Mus musculus: one gene and its partner. The protein of the gene in region 1 purifies or fractionates together with the protein of each later gene. This does not show direct contact. Links are inferred from orthologs where the notes say so. Each region holds a gene or a part of one and is shown on either strand. Other genes may lie near its edges.

The links.
Region 2: the proteins of Slc34a2 (region 1) and Endod1 purify together in Homo sapiens (co-immunoprecipitation; 3 studies listed by BioGRID and IntAct, counting the BioPlex papers as one, with this or other methods). This does not show direct contact. The link is inferred for Mus musculus from reciprocal best matches to the Homo sapiens genes SLC34A2 and ENDOD1.

Annotation. Positions count from the first base shown.
Region 1 is NC_000071.6:53,048,020-53,052,152, reverse strand, and holds the start of Slc34a2 (sodium-dependent phosphate transport protein 2B), read right to left. Parts: upstream 2,801-4,133; 5' UTR 2,757-2,800; intron 1-2,756. UniProt on the Homo sapiens protein: Involved in actively transporting phosphate into cells via Na(+) cotransport.
Region 2 is NC_000075.6:14,378,443-14,382,701, reverse strand, and holds the start of Endod1 (endonuclease domain-containing 1 protein precursor), read left to right. Parts: upstream 1-1,459; 5' UTR 1,460-1,731; coding exon 1,732-2,031; intron 2,032-3,211; exon of another isoform or gene 3,212-3,308; intron 3,309-4,259. UniProt on the Homo sapiens protein: May act as a DNase and a RNase. Plays a role in the modulation of innate immune signaling through the cGAS-STING pathway by interacting with RNF26.

The DNA of each region.
Region 1 (4,133 bases):
TCACTCTTGCTACCTGCCAGAGCAGCAGGCTTTGAGGAAGAAACATTGAATCTAACAAGGTATCAATTGCCCAACTAGACCAAGAATGATCACAAGGGCCCCAGGTCCTGTGGCTACCCTAGGCCCACTTCTACAGAGCTGTGGGCCTCACTCTTGGCTCCATTTCACACAGGCACACACAATGCCAAGAGGAAGTCAGTCCTCCTGGCAAGCTCAGAAGGGGAAACCTCTGGGCTCTTCTAGGACTCAAACTGGGAAATGTGAGGCACCTGGCTGCCATCCACGCCCTTCACTTTGCATTCTTTGAGCTTCTCCAACCAGGACCTGACTGGGACCAGCTGTTTTCAGAGCTTGCCCAGCTAAGATCCAGGGATGAAAAAGTGAATCAGCCCATGCCCGTGGTCCTGTGTCCTCTCACCAGCTATGGCCATAGCACAAGAATGACCACTGAAGTAAAGGAGAGCAGTTGTCACTGACAGGCAGCCCAACATCAATTGAGACTGACAGGCTCTGTGTACAGGCTCTGGCATAAGTCCTGTACACAGATTAACTCACTTCACTGTCCAGCATTTTCAGGGTTGTCTCATTGTTTCTAATTGGTGGACGGTCAGATACACCATATAATCCATAGAAGTCAGGGCAATTCTTCCATCTCAGGCTCAAAGTTGCAGGAGTTTAGCACCAAACTCAGCTAATGGTGACCTGAGGCCAACTTTTAACACAGAGGGAGAGATCTGCTTTATGCTTACCATTTAGTACTAACTGTAGGACTACCCGAGAGAGGAAACCTGAGATACAGAAAAATGTTCAAAGTCAGAATGAAAGCAGCTCTGGACACAGAAGAACTCCACACAGCTAATGTTAAGGCCTGAGGAGTTCTTCTGCTTTTGGCAGAATAACCCAGAGCCACTGAAGGTGGAGGGCTGCTGCTGCCCCTTGGCTTCCTGTAAGCCTCAGAATAATCCCCTGAAGAGGAGGGAGGGGTGTGAGCAGAGGGGTGTGGCACTAGTGGTGCATGCCTGAAAGCCCAAGGCTGCAGAAGCTGAGGCAGGATTATCACAGGTCTCAAGGATGGTCTGGGCTACAACACGTACTTGCTAAAAAACAAGGGGGAGAGGGCAGACTGCTTCTAGGTCTTGCAATTAGAGAATGGCTTTTAGTTTTAGATTTTAGGTGAAAGATACTATTTAAGATATTTAGCCTAACACTACAAACTTGTGCTCACACAGGCTGCTACAATACCTTTTTAAATTTGTAAAGTAAATTTCAGTCAGGTGTGGTAGGTCAAGTCTATAATCCCAGCACACACTTGGGGAGGCGGAGACCTAACTAATTCAAGACTAATTGGAGGTCTGGAGAGATGGATCAGCAGTTAAGAGCACTGACTACCCTTCTTGAAGGTCACGAGTTCAAATCCCAGCAACCACATGGTGGTTCATAACCATCTGTAATGAAATTGGACACCCTCTTCTGGTGTGTCTGAAAACAGCTACGGTGTACTTACATATAATAAATAAATATCTTTTTAAAAAAGGACTAATAGGACCTACACAACACTCCATCTCAAAAACCCAAAGGCTAGCTATGTAGCTCAGAACAGCCACTACGAAGCATAAGATTCTGAGTTCAATCCTTAGGCTGTCAGTTAGTTGACCTGTAACTATTCTGCCCTGTTTGGGGGAGTTAAAAGCTAAATTTGTAAACCTATGTATGCGACAATCTTTATTGAAATCTAGTATACTCCAAATCAGATCCCTCAAATACTGTTTTGGGGTGTTTTGTTTTGTTGTTTTCTTTTTCATAAACTCAGGCTATTCTGTGCCTGAGTCGTGGTACCCTGGAGGGGTAGGGGAGGGGTAAGGGAGGGAGGTAACTTGTGTAGCATCCAAAACTATTACAAAGCCTGCCCTTCTTGCCCCGGCTTACAAAAGCTTGTAAAACAGAAAAGGTCATTATCAGCTGGCATAGGATAAGACGGTCTCCTAGTCCCAAACAATGCTTACTGTGGGGAGGCTCAGGTTTTCCAGAAATGCCTAACTGAGAACAAGTTTCAGTCTACAAGACAGGAAAGCAGACAGATGACAGAGCCACCCTGCTAGCACAAAACTCTCCTGAAAGGACCTCCCCCCGCCCCCAAAGTACAGGACCGATGATCCACGGGTTTTAAGAAAATGCCCACAGTACCTATGGCAGGCACCTGTCCCTCTGGAACTTTAACTCCAAAACGGGCACTCCTCCTCTGGCTTGAGCATACTGTCTCCTCCGACCCTGTGCATATCCCTCTGCCTTAAGAACCAGAAATCAAATCCTGCTCAAGACATCTGAAGGGCAAAAGCTTTTGGCCAAGTCCCCCCAGAAGGGTCTGCATCCTCCAGCAGCCAGAGCAAACCTAGAACTTGCAGGAAAAGACCCAGGTGTCATGAAGAGGGCCACTGCACGTCAGGGAGTCACACGGGTAGTAACCCAGACCAAGCATGAGGCCAGCCCGGCAGATCCTCCCACCCCAAGCCACAGACACAGCTAGCAGGTGAGGCATGTCCACCTACACTAGTTCTAAGAGTTGTCCTGACAGCAATCACAACCATCTTTTAAAAAAAATCTGAAAGTTTAAGATGATGTGCTCTCATATCCTCCTCTGCAGCCCAGAGCCAGTCAAGTCCCTTAGGGGTGTCTACAAGAATGAAGTCACTTAAAAATTCAGTGTAGGTCCTTGAGATCAGAAGCAGCCGGCGGTAGCGGCCGACCGGTGTACTCACCAGCGCTCCCTTCGCAGGTAAGGGACAGCAGGAGGCACCCAGGTGGAGCGCAGCTGAGCGCCCGGTATATATACAGCGAAGGTGTTGCGCAAAGAGGCCGGCGGCAGTCGCTGTCATCACGCCCCTCGCACATTCCAGGACCGCCTGCTGCCGCCGCCACGGCACTGCCTACCTGCCGGCTTAGTGAGCCCATCGCGGGGAGAAACCTCAGACCAGGCCCGCAGTAGGAACGGCCGAACCGCCTGCGCCCCGGTGGCGCCCCGCGCGCCCCGAATCCCTGCCTGCCTCCCTCACACGCGGGAGTTGCTGCGAATGCTGACCACCAGCTGTGGGCCTCTGCCCTCTGCCTCGTTCTCCCAGAGTCTCTGTGCCGTTCCGTCTCCAGGGCTGGAGAGGTTAGACACTGAGCAACAGATTGTAAATTCAGGGACAAGATTCTTCTTCTTCGCAACAAAGCCAGGATTGTTCCAGGTGCCTCTGCCTGGAGACCTGTCTGGCTTGGGCAGTTAGAACAAGGTCAGCATGGAACTTAAGACTGACTGCTAGGGAGTGGCGGGCCTGGAGAAGGGGTGCTTTCTCTACAGTGTGGGTGCCCTGGGTCAGTCGCCCCCCATCCCCATCTCTACCCACTGTAAGGTGGCCTGGAGATCAGCCCCAGGAGGCCCCCCCCTTCCCCCCAGGCTAGTACTGAACAAGATGGAAACAGTGGATTTAGCCTCAGATCAGAGCTTCAAAGCCTTGCCTCAGAGGCCCAGGAGCCAAGATTAAGTAAGGCACGGGGTAAGGGCACAGGCTCACACAGGAACTGCTAAAACAGAGCTAGTTTTGCCTCAAACTCCAAGTACCCATAACTAATGTTTGGAGGTGCGCTGCCCTGGGCTAAGCTCTCAGGATCTTAGCTGCCTGTCTTCAGTTCCCTGCTCGCCCCCCTTGCCGTCCCCTCCTCATTTTTCTCAGTGTAAAATGTGTGTCCTTGGTTCACAGCACTCAATATTTTAACACTGTCCTTCCAGAGTTGGAGGACTAGGAAGGTTCTGAGACTTATCACAGGTGCCAATACTGTCTACAGCAGCACAAAGCACAAACGACTCAGTTGGAGACAGGGAAGAAAGCTAGCCTGCCTGGTGGCCCTGTGGAGGAATAATGTTTGCTCTACAGGACAAACTAAGGAGTTCTCAGCAAGCACCTCTCAGAGCACAGGCTGGAGTAAACGGAGTCCACCCCCACGTGACCACCACGGAGTTCAGCACAGCCTGTAGCCAGCGGAGGGCAGGGCAGGGCAGGCTGCACTCTCCACCTACGCTGTTCCCAGGAACCCTGAGGCCTTCACTCACTGGTCATCTATCCTGTGACCCTGCCTCACAGTGGCTAAAGGCT
Region 2 (4,259 bases), on another chromosome or scaffold:
GTAAACATGTGAGCAATCAAAAGCAAAATCAAAAACAGTGTCTTTTGCTATGAGCACAAGGAAGTCAAGTCGACAGTATTATCAACATTAGATGTTTATATCTGGCAGCAGCCCACAGGAGGCTTGGATAAAACTGAAGCCTACTGTGGGTCTGAGGCAGTGGGGCAGAGATATGTACACAGCTAGAGTCCTGGGTGTTAGAGCTGTCCACATTGACTCTCACTGACCTGACGCTCACCAAGGAAGCCAAGCTGATCTTCAAGCCCCAAGAACTTAGCTGTTTCTGTGCCCCCAACATGAGATCACAAGTCTGTGCCACCTTGCCCTGCTTTTCTTTTTAAACTCAGGTTCTGTGCATCAAACGCAAACAGATCCTCTTGCTTATATCTGGACCCCCGCTGCCAAGTTTGCGTGGCAGTCACTGTGACCATGAAGCCATCTCCCCAACCTGGTTATGGTAGAAAGATCCAAGCTTTCAGTGATGTTTTATTTATTTATTTTGTTTGTTTGTTTGTTTGTTGAAACGGTCTTGATTTGTAGTCCAGGCTGGTCTTAACCTCTGTCCCGGAATTACGAGCCTAAGTCGCCCTTCTCAGTTCCCTAACCTAATGTATACTGTTGCTCCAGACCTCAGTTTTATTTTTAAACTAAATTAATTACTTCAGTTTGAGTCAGGGTCCAAGAAGCCCATTCTGCCTTTGAACTCCTGGTCCCTGTGCACACCACCACAGCTAGTTATTTACTGGGAGTGGGAACCGGGGCTGGGCTTCTTAATCCTAGTCAATCACTCTGCTCACATCCCAGCCAGATTCCTCTGCTCTTTATTCCACCAGCCTGTCTCAAGTCCCTCCCACATTCTTTTCCCCTCTGGGAAAGTCCAGCTTGGGGCTGCCTTCCTCAGGGTGTCAGTTCAGATATCATCTTTTCAGGCCAACTTCCTTCACTGTATCCTAAAACCCTGTAGGAGTCACGCAGTGGATTAACACTGGGTTTTCAGTGATTCCGTAAACAGCATGTTTTGTTTGTTTGTTTGTTTGTTTGCTTGTTTTTTAATTAATACTAGGCTCACCAAACAGAGATCCTGCTCTTGTCGGTTATCACTCTACTAATTCAAGGTGGGGGTGTGCAGAGGCATGTGAGCAGTGGGATGAATACAGGGTGTTGGCTGTCTTGTTCCCTTCTGAGTTTCGGTTTGATATCTAATGCTCATACCAAGTAAACCACGGCCGGGCTGTGCTGTCTGCCTAAGAACTTCCTTTATCAGTATTTATTTATTTATTTATTTATTTATTTATTTATTTATTTATTTATTTATTTATTTATTTAGCAGGGTCTTACGGATCCCCCTGCCTCTACCAAAAACCCGGCTTTAACAGGGTTTCTTAACTGGGGTCTGATGCGGAAGGGTAGGCACCGTCTCCTCTGTGGACATCTCCCCATCCCGGAGGAACCTGGTGCACGCAAGGTCCGACTTCTCAGCGCCAGCCCTGGGGACAGCCCCTTGGGCTAAGCCAGTCCAGCGCGGAGGGGGAGCTCTGGCACACAGCAGCGCCGCGGCAGGTGTCCGGTCTCCAGGGGTGGGTGCAGCCGCAGAAAGCCGCGGCTGAGCACTGCAGCCATCTTCGGGGTGGAGGCGGAGAAGGGGCGCGGCCTTGGCCCAGAGCCGCCCCGCCAGAGAGGCTCACCGCGGACTTCCCTGCTCTAGCGGCGCCCGGCCGCGCAGAGGCCGCCATGGGCTGTGCGCGCTGGCTGGCGCTGGGCGGCCTCCTGGCCCTGGCAGGGCTGTTGCAGGCCCGGCTGCTGCTCCCGCAGCAAGCGGGCTTCGGCGAATGCGACCGTTTCTTCTACAAGGGGACCCCACCCGCCGGGCTGGCGACCGAAGCGCACGTGAGGATCTGTCAACGCTTCGCGGGCTCCGAGCGCTTCGCCACTCTGTACAGTCCTGGCCACCGCATCCCCGTGTTCTCCGCGTTTCGCGCTGCGCGCCCGGCGTCCCGCAGTGCCGAGCAGCGCGGGCTGCTGGAGCCGCAGGTAAGCAGGACTCGGGAGAACCGGGATCTGAAGTTCAGATCTACCCCCCAGCGTCTCCCCATCCCCAAACTGCAGCCTGCCTTGCCTGGGTGGGAGTCTCCACTTAAGCCGCAGGGGCGGGAGGTTCCCCGAGGAGATGGCCCTCCCTCCTCTTGGGCTCAGACGTCTGCAGTGTCTGGTTGGTTTCCTGGGTAGTAGAGAACATGAACTGGGAGACAGCCCTTGGTGGCCAAGACCGGGCAGATCCGCGGGAAGCACAAGCTTCCCAGGCCCGCCCACATCCCCTCAGCAACATTTGGGCGGTGGGCAAGTTCACCCCACTTTACAGGAAGCAGCTCCAGACAAGGAGGGGTGAAGGAGCTTGCAGAAGACCACCCAGCTGGTGAGATGAGTGAGCTGGTCTTGAGGCTAGAAAATCACTGCCCTTTCTGCTAGGGGAAAGCTTCTGACAGTGCAAGGACTTTGGGAAGCTCAGTGGGGGTAGTACCCACGCAGAAAGGACAAACCAGTTTTTCCTGAATCTTCGTATCTGTAGATTATCAGACCATTGCAATCAAGTGACCTTTCACAGTGTTGGGTCTGTCTGGCGGCAGGGATCAAACACCGAGAAAGCCTTCCATGGGCCATACAGAAACTGCTGACTGGCTCTCCTCTGCCAGGTCTCCGCAGTAAGACACCCTGTCCTGCCTCTCTGACTTCTCCCCAGCCTTCCAGCCCTGTGTGTCCCAGAGCCCTTGGTTCCTGCCGGCCACCAATACAAAGCTTCTGGCTTTCAGGTGTCTCCACCTGAAAGTATGGATTGTACCTTGGTCATATTTCCAGCTACCATTGGCCAGGCAGGTTTCAGGCAGTCTGCACCAATATTACCTTCTCACATCCTCCTGTGTCCAGCGTCCTGCTGTAAGGATCTCTGAGCTCAGGCCAGTAGAAAGAGTTCTTAGCTTGTGCATATAGGGAAGATATGTGCCGATCTAAACTTACTTTCCCTCAGTATACCCCTAGAAGTTCTTTATGTACCCCTGGTCTGGGAAGAAAGCAGCAACCCAGTCCATTCTCATTAAGTTCATTAGTGGCTAGAGTGGACAAACATAACAGGGTGAAGTCCTGCGAATGCTGAATATACCCAGTGACCAACTGCTGCCTCCCTGTGTGCATTCAAATCCTGCTTCCTCGAGACTAGCAGTTGACCCTGTTGACTGGTGTGGACTCCAAGTTCTCCAGTGACCCATAATACTAGCTGCTGCTGTGATGCTCAGAAGACACATAATTTCACCAAGGTAAACAGAGTCCTGGTAGATTTAATCTGTTGGTAACGTGATAGGGGAAAGCTTAGGGTCTGGTTGGCATTTGTGCTGAGTGTGGAAGGATTAGCAGGGTTCAGGAGAGAGGAAGAAGGAATTTCAGAGTGGTATTGTATGAGATGGGTGTGGCAGATTCTTGGATCATTGCTTGGGAATGAGTGGAGCAGGTAAACTAATACTGGATTATGCGCCCCGGAACCGAGGGACTCAAAGAGCAATCATGGGAGGGAGGAGCAGGTGAAGGAGTCACCAAAGGAGACTTAGGCAGAGCCTTGGACCTGTTATTAAGAGAGTCACAAGGAACAGTGTTTGACAGGGAGGCTGTGGGCACCCTGGGTGGAGTAAGGGGATGGGGGAGGAGAGCTAAAGGGAATAGTTTCTAAGGGCAGCTGGAGCTGTGAGATGTCCTGACTTCCGAACAGTCCTGGAGGCCTGCGCTGTGGCTCAGAGGGAAGAGTGTTTGCCCAGCATGCACTTAGCCATATTTGTTTAACCCCCAATACTGCATAAAAGGTGGTCACCCATATAGTTCCAGCACTCAGCTCAGATTGTGAAGGTCATCCTCAGGCTGCATCGTGAGTTCTAGGCCAGCCTGGGCTACATGAGACTGTCTTAAAACAGACAAGTTGAGCAAGCCATGCCCTTCGAAAGTTGCCAAGGCTGAGAACTGAGGCTGCTTTTCTCTGCATCATGGTGGGCTCCACAGTAACCTACCTTGAAGTCAACAAGGGGATCCAAAGAACACTGAAGGGAAGGGGAGGGCAGTGGAGGGAGGGGAAAGGAGGGAGGAGACAGAAATGCAGGTGGTCTCTGGAGCTGTTTCTACTTCTGTTTCAACACCAGCCTCTGAGCCAGTGCCTAACTGTAAGTCCTGCTCAGGGATCTGTGTGCTTCTAGATGCTTCCAAGTAGTTTCTATTGCCAATCC